Saccharomyces cerevisiae S288C: one gene and its partner. Changing the gene in region 1 together with any one later gene gives a genetic interaction. Each region holds a gene or a part of one and is shown in the gene's direction. Other genes may lie near its edges.

What was found.
Region 2: mutations in MPD2 (region 1) and ADE2 together harm fitness more than expected from each alone (negative genetic interaction), as found in Saccharomyces cerevisiae (one large-scale study listed by BioGRID).

Annotation. Positions count from the first base shown.
Region 1 is NC_001147.6:150,944-156,684, reverse strand, and holds MPD2 (protein disulfide isomerase MPD2), read left to right. Parts: upstream 1-1,939; coding exon 1,940-2,773; downstream 2,774-5,741. Other genes in the region: DUF1 (Duf1p), read left to right, coding at 1-1,398; HAL9 (Hal9p), read left to right, coding at 3,195-5,741.
Region 2 is NC_001147.6:563,976-571,134, reverse strand, and holds ADE2 (phosphoribosylaminoimidazole carboxylase ADE2), read left to right. Parts: upstream 1-4,943; coding exon 4,944-6,659; downstream 6,660-7,159. Other genes in the region: ORT1 (Ort1p), read left to right, coding at 328-1,206; AFI1 (Afi1p), read left to right, coding at 1,577-4,258; GTPase-activating protein RGA1, read right to left, coding at 6,942-7,159.

The DNA of each region.
Region 1 (5,741 bases):
CTCGTGCAACCATTGCCTGCATCCAAAAAGCCATATTTTAGAACGCAGAGCTCTGGCTCCTTGTTAAGTAGAAAGTTCAAATCATTTAGGTCTACTTCTGGTCGTGCCACAACAGGGTTAAACACTCCAGAGGAGCCCAAAGGAATTCTGCCAGATACTCCGCACGTTATTAATGATGACTCGGCCTTCCCTCAAGCTATCAATACAACTCAGCAGTCTAAGGATGCAACTCCAGAATCTATGTTATGGAATCATCCTTTCAAGCTAGAGCAAAAACTATCCGCTATTTCATCACAAGATTTACCGAGTAACAACACTCATAACAAACTAAGATCATCTGAAAACTCAAGGGCGAATTCCACGTCAACCTTGGAAGGCAACGAAAAGAAGAAGCCTGAGTTCATGCCCGATTTACTGGAGCAAATTCAAGAGTCTTACAAGCAACAATATATGAATACTTCTTCTCTAAAATACCTGACGAAGAGGCTTCCAGTCACCAAGATAATCAAGGCTAGTTCATGTCCAATTATTAGAGTAAAATCTGCCACGTTAGTTTTGGTCCATCTTTGGAAGGAAGGCTCATGTGGTGGCAGGGTATTATTTTCCACCCTATTACCGCCATCTCATGTCGATAATGAAACCGTCAGCGGCGGCAAAGAAAATTCCAAACCGCCAGATGATGAAGAAGTAGACCTTCAAGCTGTAGATGATGACAAATTAGGAAAATATGATCTTATTGATGGCGAGTTAGGAAGCAGACTCAACAGAAGGCAAATTTTTGAGCAATTGGAGGAAAATTTGCCCTACTGGTTTGCAAAAGCTTTATTTAGAGATATTAAGACGGTGGAAGAGCAACCAAAGTTGAACTTCTTAATCATGCCATGGTCTTCTGTTGGTGGGAGTGAGGCAGCTGGCAATGAAAACAAGAAGAAGTTTATTAGTGCATCAGATACCACAGAATCTTCTGGCAACGATAGTAGCGATAGCAGCCTTGGAAATGGTAATGAAGCCGTTTCCCCATCAACACAGCAACAGTTCCATAATATGCTAAAGTTTGGCCGTCCGAAGACCAGCGAGCAGGAGTTAAACCCCACAGATTTACCGAGAATCTCTGAGGCGAATGTCAAGCTGGTTGCGCCTGGAATGATTAGGGTGAAAAAAATTAAACTTTACGTCGCTGACAGATTTGAAACGAAAACTCCTGAAATGAAAGCAAAAATGGAACCTAGTCTTTGGTTGGATCTACTATGTAGGGGCCAAGTGCTTGATAACGATATGACTTTAAATACCGTTAGAACACTTTACTGGAAATCTCAGGGTGACATAGTTCTAGAATACAGAAGAAAAGTACATAATTCACCGCTAGTTCATGAGGTCAACGGGAATGAGGGGAAATGATAATGTTTATTTAAATTATATTTTGGGGTCTGAATTTGGAGTTTTTAAGCGTAAATATATAGTAACAATACCAACAATAATACTAATAATACTATAATAGTAGTTGCAGTAACAATGACAAGATAAAGAATATTCTTCTGAAATGTCTAAAGAACGAAGAAAAAAGCAAGTACTCATTGGAATGCTATGTGTAACAACTCATACATACTCTAGAGCTTTATAATAATTACATAGACATTTTTATAATATTATTTATTTATCAAATTTTATATTGAATAGGTACCATCAAGTTATGCACACATTCTTCATTAAAATACAGTCTGTAAATAATTGTGAATATGGGCGACCTGAATGATGTTCTTATTATCTCAAATATTTCTAATTTTTTTTAATCATTTTTGTTTCTTTAAGAGCAATTAATTTACAGAGCGGGGAACAGTGGCCAATTTTTTGAGCTAAAGAACAGCATAACAACAAAACAACAGAAAAAAAACACAGCGAGTCTAGTGCAAGTACGTCGGCAAAGTAAAACACAAAGGAGATGAAATTGCACGGCTTTTTATTTTCCGTATTATCAACATGCGTCGTCATTTTACCAGCGTTGGCCTACAGTGAAGCTGTCACGATGGTCAAGTCGATTGAGCAGTACTTCGATATCTGCAATAGGAATGATTCTTACACAATGATAAAATACTACACTTCTTGGTGCCAACATTGTAAAACTCTGGCCCCAGTATACGAAGAGCTTGGTGAGCTATACGCCAAAAAAGCTAATAAAGATGATACCCCAATTAACTTCCTTGAAGTTAACTGTGAATTCTTCGGGCCAACTTTATGTACCGACTTGCCTGGATTTCCAATAATTGAACTGGTCAAACCTCGTACTAAGCCCTTAGTTCTTCCGAAGCTCGATTGGTCGTCTATGAAATTTCATGAAAGACTATGGCAAAGAATCAAGACGTGGTTCAACAATCCTAAGTACCAACTGGATACGTCTAGGGTTGTTCGTTTTGAAGGGAGTAGGAACCTAAAGAGTTTAAGCAACTTTATCGATACTGTAAGAAGTAAAGATACAGAAGAAAGATTCATAGAACATATTTTCGATGATTCTAGGAATTGCAATGAAGAATTACGTTCTCAACAGCTTCTGTGTAAAGCTGGTAAAGAATACTACTCTGATACTTTATCTAAATTATACGGTGACGTGAATGGGCTGGAAAAGGAAAGGCGAAGACTAGAAGCTTTAATTAAGCAAAATGGAGATGACTTGAGTAAAGAAGTTAAAGAAAAACTGAAAATCATTCGTCTACAATTGAGCCTATTATCACACATAGAAGACCAGTTAGAAGATACCAGTAGTCATGACGAGCTTTGAACATAAGCTTCGCTCTGTCTTTTACTTTACGAATACCGACTACAGACGGAAGCGGGACCCTCACCCTGAGGTACAACAAATACACAGATACATATATATTTAACAATGTACGTTAGCCGCAATATAAGTGAGATTGTGTAGGTGAAAGATTATGGAGATATACATAAATATTACAGAAGGTCTACCACATGTGTTTTGAATATTGGCTTGTGCTAAGGTAACACTGTTATTTTATTCATTAGAGAAACATCTCTTACCCTGTTTGGTTTTGGTATAATCTCCAATTACGTACATGAAAGATGGCTTTATATAAAAAGCCTTTAATTCGAAAAAAGAATAAATGTCTTAGGGAGCTTATTATCGTACTTTAATTCAACTTAGGAAATCAGCACTCTCCACTCCAAATCTTCGGTTTGAAATAATGGAAAATCAAGGTGGAGATTACAGCCCAAATGGGTTTTCAAACTCAGCAAGCAATATGAATGCGGTTTTTAACAATGAAATCACCGGTAGAAGTGACATTTCAAATGTAAACCATCAAACTGGTACCCCACGTCTGGTTCCTGAAACTCAAATATGGTCGATGCCTGTGCCAGATCAACTGATGACGATGCCTAACAGAGAAAACACCCTTATGACAGGTAGTACAATAGGTCCAAATATCCCCATGAATGTGGCTTATCCCAATACAATATACTCGCCAACAGAGCATCAGTCGCAATTTCAGACACAACAGAACCGTGACATCAGCACGATGATGGAACACACTAACAGTAATGATATGAGCGGCTCTGGTAAAAATCTCAAGAAACGTGTATCAAAGGCCTGTGACCATTGCCGAAAAAGAAAAATCAGATGTGATGAAGTGGACCAGCAGACCAAAAAATGTTCAAACTGTATTAAGTTTCAGTTGCCTTGCACTTTCAAACATCGTGATGAGATTCTTAAGAAGAAAAGAAAATTAGAAATCAAACATCATGCAACACCAGGGGAATCACTTCAAACCTCAAATAGTATTAGCAATCCTGTAGCGTCTTCTTCAGTACCGAACAGTGGAAGGTTTGAACTTTTAAACGGTAATTCCCCCTTAGAAAGCAATATCATCGATAAAGTCTCCAATATTCAAAATAATCTTAACAAAAAAATGAATTCAAAGATTGAAAAATTGGATAGAAAAATGTCTTACATTATTGACAGTGTGGCTAGACTTGAGTGGTTATTGGACAAGGCTGTTAAAAAGCAGGAAGGCAAATACAAGGAAAAGAACAATTTGCCCAAACCAGCGAGAAAAATATACTCTACGGCACTTTTAACTGCTCAAAAACTCTATTGGTTCAAACAAAGTTTAGGAGTGAAAGCGTCCAATGAGGAGTTTCTTTCTCCAATCAGCGAAATATTAAGCATATCTTTAAAATGGTATGCAACTCAAATGAAAAAATTTATGGATTTGTCATCTCCGGCTTTCTTCTCCAGCGAAATAATATTATACTCATTACCTCCGAAAAAGCAAGCAAAGAGACTTCTTGAGAATTTTCATGCTACCTTATTATCCTCTGTAACTGGTATAATATCGTTAAAAGAATGTCTAGACTTAGCAGAAAAGTACTACAGCGAAAGCGGCGAAAAACTCACATATCCTGAACATTTATTATTAAACGTGTGTCTCTGCTCGGGTGCATCTGCCACTCAATCAATTATAAGAGGTGATTCAAAGTTTCTAAGGAAAGATAGATATGATCCAACCTCCCAAGAGTTAAAAAAAATCGAAAACGTTGCCTTACTAAATGCCATGTATTATTATCATAAGCTGTCCACCATCTGTTCAGGTACAAGAACACTACAAGCTTTATTACTACTGAACCGATATTTTCAACTTACCTACGATACTGAACTAGCAAATTGTATTTTAGGAACCGCGATTAGATTGGCGGTTGACATGGAATTAAATAGAAAATCCTCTTACAAGTCACTAGACTTTGAAGAAGCCATAAGGAGAAGAAGAATGTGGTGGCATTGTTTTTGTACAGATAAACTATATTCTTTAATGTTATCCAGACCCCCTATTGTGGGGGAACGCGATATGGATATGCTAACAGATCAAAATTATTATGAAGTGATAAAAACTAATATTCTACCTGATCTTATTGATAAAAAGGAAGATCTCGATAAAATTACTGATGTCAACTCTGCATTGAATGTAGTTGTAAATTTTTGTCAGCACATATCCCTTTTCATATCATATTATGTTTCAAAATTGGTTAGTATTGAGAGTAAAATATACTCTACTTGTTTTGCTGTCAGAAGTACTCTAGATCTTTCATTCGATGCCATGCTTGATAAAATCAAAGATCTCAATGATTCTTTGAACAATTGGAGAGACAACTTGCACGTAAGTATGAAACTAAAAAGTTATAAACAGTATTTATCGGTACTTTACGCTCAAAAATCCCAAGAAAATCCGGCTTTAAGTTTTGAGATTGCATGCTCTCGTGTTTTGAATTGTCATTTTAGGGCGCTATATTCTAAAGTGATTTTGAGCATGATGACTACATCCTTATTGATTGATAACGAACGCCTATACAAAGGTTCTCGCCATGATATTCCTCAGCTATTCATTCTTTTTTCAAGTCAATACTTAAACGCCAGTAAAGAAATGTTACAGCTGTTTCAAGGCATCAATTACCAGGCGCATATGTATAACGAGGTTATGTATCAGTTCTCTACTGCTATGTTTGTTCTCTTCTTTTACGTTGTGGATAATATGAACGATCTAAAAAAGAAAGGTGAGGTAAAAGAGATCATCGATATCCTAAAAAAATCTTATGATCGATTAGTGGGAGAAAATGATGAGCAGTTACTGTTTGACAATGTCAAATGGAACACTTTGATTGTGTTCTACAGCCACTTTTTGAAATACGTTTTGCAACGTTATCATGCTTTGAACGATTCTACGTCAATATTTGATTCT
Region 2 (7,159 bases), 410 kb from region 1:
ATATTAATGGATACAATGAGTACTTAGCACGAAGAAAGCGTAGCATTGTAGTTTCATCGTTGCAACTTAGTCCTAGTACGTTCCAGTTCTGCATCGTGACTCACCTTGAGCTCGAAAAATGTGACATATACGTTTTCCGCTGTGGCCGCTGTGGCCGCAGCGTCAAGAATCGCCAATGATAAGTTCTCTGCTCCTGGCGTCGATAGATTCAGAAAAGTGTGAAATTATCGAAGCACGGGTATAGTTAATTGTTAAAGCGTAGATGCTTTGTCGTAGAAACTTTTCTTTAACCTATAGGGAACTCAAATTCTGGAAGGTCAACGTATAATGGAGGACAGTAAAAAGAAAGGATTAATAGAAGGCGCTATACTCGATATAATAAACGGTTCCATTGCAGGCGCCTGTGGTAAGGTGATCGAGTTTCCTTTCGATACTGTGAAAGTCAGGTTGCAAACACAAGCATCCAACGTGTTCCCAACAACATGGTCTTGTATAAAATTTACTTACCAAAATGAAGGAATAGCACGAGGGTTTTTTCAAGGCATTGCTTCACCTTTAGTTGGAGCATGTCTGGAGAACGCGACATTATTTGTGTCTTATAACCAATGTTCTAAATTTTTAGAAAAACATACAAACGTTTCCCCGTTGGGGCAAATCCTGATCTCTGGTGGAGTAGCGGGTTCATGTGCTAGTTTAGTTTTGACACCCGTGGAGCTGGTGAAGTGTAAGTTGCAGGTTGCGAACTTACAAGTTGCATCAGCTAAAACGAAACATACAAAGGTGTTGCCTACAATAAAAGCAATTATAACTGAGAGAGGATTGGCAGGATTGTGGCAAGGGCAATCGGGCACTTTTATTCGAGAAAGCTTCGGTGGTGTTGCCTGGTTTGCAACCTACGAAATAGTTAAGAAGTCGTTGAAAGATAGGCACTCCCTTGATGACCCAAAAAGAGATGAAAGTAAGATATGGGAACTACTTATTAGTGGAGGGAGCGCTGGATTGGCATTCAACGCCAGTATTTTTCCTGCGGATACTGTGAAATCAGTAATGCAAACTGAACATATAAGCCTCACCAATGCGGTGAAGAAGATATTTGGCAAATTTGGACTAAAGGGTTTTTATCGAGGACTGGGTATAACCCTTTTTAGGGCAGTACCAGCAAACGCTGCAGTTTTTTACATCTTTGAGACTCTTTCTGCACTTTAAATACAATAAATCGTGTAATAAGCAAGTATGTAACATTGATAGACAGTCTGTAATACCATTTACTGATCAAGAATGTCGCACAATCTCAACAGCCAGGCTTTGTGTTAGTATTTTGTGTTTTTTACAACAACCTCTCGACTATTGTATACCAGTTTCTTGCATAGATGCTACTATTCTCTGACAGTAAATTATCTAGTCAGGACTTCGGATTTAACTAAATGCAAAAAAAAAAATGATTCGAATGTAAACAAAAAAAACTGTCTAGGTAGCAATGGTTCTTCTATAAAAGTGCAAGCTCTATAAAATCAAGATCAAGCATAGTACCGCCCACTGTTAGAGTCTTTGGTACGCAAACATTTTTGGCTACCGGATGTTGCGAAGAGAACTAAATAACTCTATCAGCAACAGGTCGATAGAAAATGAATCCTTTCCTTTTGAAAGGCCGAATGTCAGCTATATAATATCCGCAGAATTTGATAATAAATTAGGTCCTATTTTGAAGCACCAATACCCGAAAGATATTCCAGGTTTCAATCAGTTCTCACATGAGCAACGCAACGGCAATACGTCGGTGTCTATGAACTTGGCAAGTTTAATGATACCGAGTAGCATAGAGAGAAATCCCGGCAAACAAGATATTACAGTGTTTACCCTTTATTACAATAAGTTTACTCAAAACTATCAACTCTTTCCTGTGCCAAAAGACCCTCGTTTCAGTTTCAATCTGCATCATCGTGAACAGTCAGATGGTAGTGTTACCAATAGCATATATTACGATGCCGAAAATCATCAAGATGCAAAAAATAATAGATACACTATTGTCTTGGAAGATGATGAGCTCGAATGCCAGGAAGTTCAGAATAATCAGAAAGCCATCGACAACGAACCTTTATTTTTCATAAATGTCGCCAACACAGTATTAGACACCACGAACGATAGAGGGGCAGTAATCAAGTCGATTGCCATCGGAACACCATTAAAAACCTTCTTTGCATTCAAAAATATTATTGTATTAGTGTTAGACTTGTATATGAAAGCTCCCACTCAAGCTGCTGCTACAGACATACTGCTTGATTGCTTTAATATGCTAAACAGTATTGACCTTACATTGATTAATGACATACATTCCAAAAGTAGTATACAAGAAGTGCTACACTCTATCCATGACGAATCTATCATTACCAAAGTATTTTTAGACCCGGATTCCACTTTAAAGAAACTCTTTTGCATCAATGGATTTGACACTAAGGACAAGTATGGTAACATTGTGACTTTTCATGACCAACTCATTCAATATCATTTTACAAGATTTCAGCCAAAGACGCTCCCGCCATTTTTGTTAAAAATCCCATTGCAATTTAATATGATTAGAAGAGAGCCTATTTATATTGAAAATGATTATAATGAACTAGTTTTAAAATTTTTGGATAAATTTGTCCCTTACCTTCTTAAAGCCGGACAAAAAGTTAATGCATGGAAGTTAGTCATCAATTCAACTAAACTGAGTAAAGAAGACCTATGCGCTTTTATTTTGTCATTAGCCAACATAACGGCAACTTATGCTAGCGATCCACAATCATACTTCAAAGGAAATGCTGCGTTGATTTTTCCCTATATGGACATTTCTCTTGTTGACGGTTTGCGGGCGTATGTAGCATCGAATAGTGATTTTGTCGGATGCTTTGCAATTATCGGAACTGCCAATCCAATTTTCCGATACCAGTTAGATATCTGGGATTATTACTACGATGTGGATGAGGGAGTGTTTTATGAAAATAATAGTCCAGAAAAAGAAAAGCCAGATACAGTGGCAGAAGTGAAGATTGGGCCTAACCCTTTGAGAAAGATATTCAATAGGCCTCATTTCTCAACCAACGCAGTCAACGAAAGTCAGGTAAACTTGGGCCAGAAGCTCTTTTCTCTTCTTATCGACGAATATCATGATAGTGATACTATCATGAGCGTTTTGAGAAGGCTGAATGTTCTTCAGTTGGAAAACCTTCTGGACGCTTTGAAAAGACGAGAAATTCCACCTAATATAGCACTAAAAGATGAATATATCATGTTTTATAAAGATTTTTTCATTTTCCCGGAGTTCTTTGATTATTTTACACTGCATAGTATTGAACTATTGTCTAACTTGGATAATTGTTTATTTAGCTTAGGAAACACATGCCAGTTATTTTCCACAGAGCAAATATATTCCCAATTAAGCCAAATATTGGACATTGTTAAAGAGCTGTTTCGCATGGTATCGGTAAGCAGGACAAACATTGAGAAGTTTTTAAACGCTTGTTTGAACTATTCTCCGTTCAAAATATTACCCACAGCTCAGTTACACGGTGATAATATTTCTAGGTGGAGTTTTGAAAGCGAAGTGCGTCAGGGTTTCGATAATTTTAACAGCTATATGGGCATCGAAAAAGATCCCCACGGTGTTATAGTATCAGCAATAGATCTTTTTACTCAAATTTACAGTTTTGATATCTTGGCGTTTTTCCTCACATTTATTACAAAAGAAAGTGGGCAGGATTTGCCCTTCACAAAATCTCTGTCCAGGAGAAGAACGTATTTGACCAGAATTGCTCAATCTTCTTCATTGAGACAGTTTTTACAACTGAGTACACGCCCTAATATAAGGATTCTGGGAGGTAATGGGCAGGGTACTGGAAATTCCAATTATCCCGAATTTACAAACGCATCCTCAGTCATCTCACCCAAGCTAAGGGCTTCTCCTCTACTAGAAAGAAGGGCGTCAAAAATCTGCTATGCTATTACGAAATTACTCTATAGGTTAGAATGTCATCCCATAGGTATGGCCCTTTTAAAGAAGTATCTCCACAATCAATTGCGAGAAGCCTATCTAGAATCAAAACGACACTTTATTTCCAAAAAGGGAGATTCGACCAACACTTCCTCTACCATTGCATCATCATCTTTCGCTGGCGCATCTGTTCCTCTATCTTCAAACGAATCAGGAATGCTAAACGGCTTGAAGCAAATTAACGAACAACAAGAATCTACATTAGAAACCACTCAAAAGGAAGACTAGTAACGCCGTATCGTGATTAACGTATTACATAAGTTACAGGATTCATGCTTATGGGTTAGCTATTTCGCCCAATGTGTCCATCTGACATTACTATTTTGCATTTTAATTTAATTAGAACTTGACTAGCGCACTACCAGTATATCATCTCATTTCCGTAAATACCAAATGTATTATATATTGAAAGCTTTTGACCAGGTTATTATAAAAGAAACTTCATGCTCGAAAAAGATCATTTCGAAAAGTTGCCTAGTTTCATGAAATTTTAAAGCAGTTTATATAAATTTTACCTTTTGATGCGGAATTGACTTTTTCTTGAATAATACATAACTTTTCTTAAAAGAATCAAAGACAGATAAAATTTAAGAGATATTAAATATTAGTGAGAAGCCGAGAATTTTGTAACACCAACATAACACTGACATCTTTAACAACTTTTAATTATGATACATTTCTTACGTCATGATTGATTATTACAGCTATGCTGACAAATGACTCTTGTTGCATGGCTACGAACCGGGTAATACTAAGTGATTGACTCTTGCTGACCTTTTATTAAGAACTAAATGGACAATATTATGGAGCATTTCATGTATAAATTGGTGCGTAAAATCGTTGGATCTCTCTTCTAAGTACATCCTACTATAACAATCAAGAAAAACAAGAAAATCGGACAAAACAATCAAGTATGGATTCTAGAACAGTTGGTATATTAGGAGGGGGACAATTGGGACGTATGATTGTTGAGGCAGCAAACAGGCTCAACATTAAGACGGTAATACTAGATGCTGAAAATTCTCCTGCCAAACAAATAAGCAACTCCAATGACCACGTTAATGGCTCCTTTTCCAATCCTCTTGATATCGAAAAACTAGCTGAAAAATGTGATGTGCTAACGATTGAGATTGAGCATGTTGATGTTCCTACACTAAAGAATCTTCAAGTAAAACATCCCAAATTAAAAATTTACCCTTCTCCAGAAACAATCAGATTGATACAAGACAAATATATTCAAAAAGAGCATTTAATCAAAAATGGTATAGCAGTTACCCAAAGTGTTCCTGTGGAACAAGCCAGTGAGACGTCCCTATTGAATGTTGGAAGAGATTTGGGTTTTCCATTCGTCTTGAAGTCGAGGACTTTGGCATACGATGGAAGAGGTAACTTCGTTGTAAAGAATAAGGAAATGATTCCGGAAGCTTTGGAAGTACTGAAGGATCGTCCTTTGTACGCCGAAAAATGGGCACCATTTACTAAAGAATTAGCAGTCATGATTGTGAGATCTGTTAACGGTTTAGTGTTTTCTTACCCAATTGTAGAGACTATCCACAAGGACAATATTTGTGACTTATGTTATGCGCCTGCTAGAGTTCCGGACTCCGTTCAACTTAAGGCGAAGTTGTTGGCAGAAAATGCAATCAAATCTTTTCCCGGTTGTGGTATATTTGGTGTGGAAATGTTCTATTTAGAAACAGGGGAATTGCTTATTAACGAAATTGCCCCAAGGCCTCACAACTCTGGACATTATACCATTGATGCTTGCGTCACTTCTCAATTTGAAGCTCATTTGAGATCAATATTGGATTTGCCAATGCCAAAGAATTTCACATCTTTCTCCACCATTACAACGAACGCCATTATGCTAAATGTTCTTGGAGACAAACATACAAAAGATAAAGAGCTAGAAACTTGCGAAAGAGCATTGGCGACTCCAGGTTCCTCAGTGTACTTATATGGAAAAGAGTCTAGACCTAACAGAAAAGTAGGTCACATAAATATTATTGCCTCCAGTATGGCGGAATGTGAACAAAGGCTGAACTACATTACAGGTAGAACTGATATTCCAATCAAAATCTCTGTCGCTCAAAAGTTGGACTTGGAAGCAATGGTCAAACCATTGGTTGGAATCATCATGGGATCAGACTCTGACTTGCCGGTAATGTCTGCCGCATGTGCGGTTTTAAAAGATTTTGGCGTTCCATTTGAAGTGACAATAGTCTCTGCTCATAGAACTCCACATAGGATGTCAGCATATGCTATTTCCGCAAGCAAGCGTGGAATTAAAACAATTATCGCTGGAGCTGGTGGGGCTGCTCACTTGCCAGGTATGGTGGCTGCAATGACACCACTTCCTGTCATCGGTGTGCCCGTAAAAGGTTCTTGTCTAGATGGAGTAGATTCTTTACATTCAATTGTGCAAATGCCTAGAGGTGTTCCAGTAGCTACCGTCGCTATTAATAATAGTACGAACGCTGCGCTGTTGGCTGTCAGACTGCTTGGCGCTTATGATTCAAGTTATACAACGAAAATGGAACAGTTTTTATTAAAGCAAGAAGAAGAAGTTCTTGTCAAAGCACAAAAGTTAGAAACTGTCGGTTACGAAGCTTATCTAGAAAACAAGTAATATATAAGTTTATTGATATACTTGTACAGCAAATAATTATAAAATGATATACCTATTTTTTAGGCTTTGTTATGATTACATCAAATGTGGACTTCATACATAGAAATCAACGCTTACAGGTGTCCTTTTTTAAGAATTTCATACATAAGATCACTTATTATACATACATACATATCCAGTAACAAGAAGCAAGGAATAATTACCTGCTTAAGTCTGCGATTAAAAAAATAACGTTTCGATACAGTTCATATAAGGCGGCTCAATGCAGAACCGAGGATAGCGCTACGTCAGGATATCTTTGTAGTTCCCAAATATAAATGCGACAATATAGTTTCTTTCTTTCATATCAATAATATCCTTTTCTCCACTGAAATCACGAATCAAACCTGGAGCAAAAACTAAAGCCAAATTATAAAGCGTCATTCGATTCCAGTGACTGTACCGTGTAACCTTTTCTATATGTTCACTCAGTACTCTTAACACCCTATAATGTTCCCTTG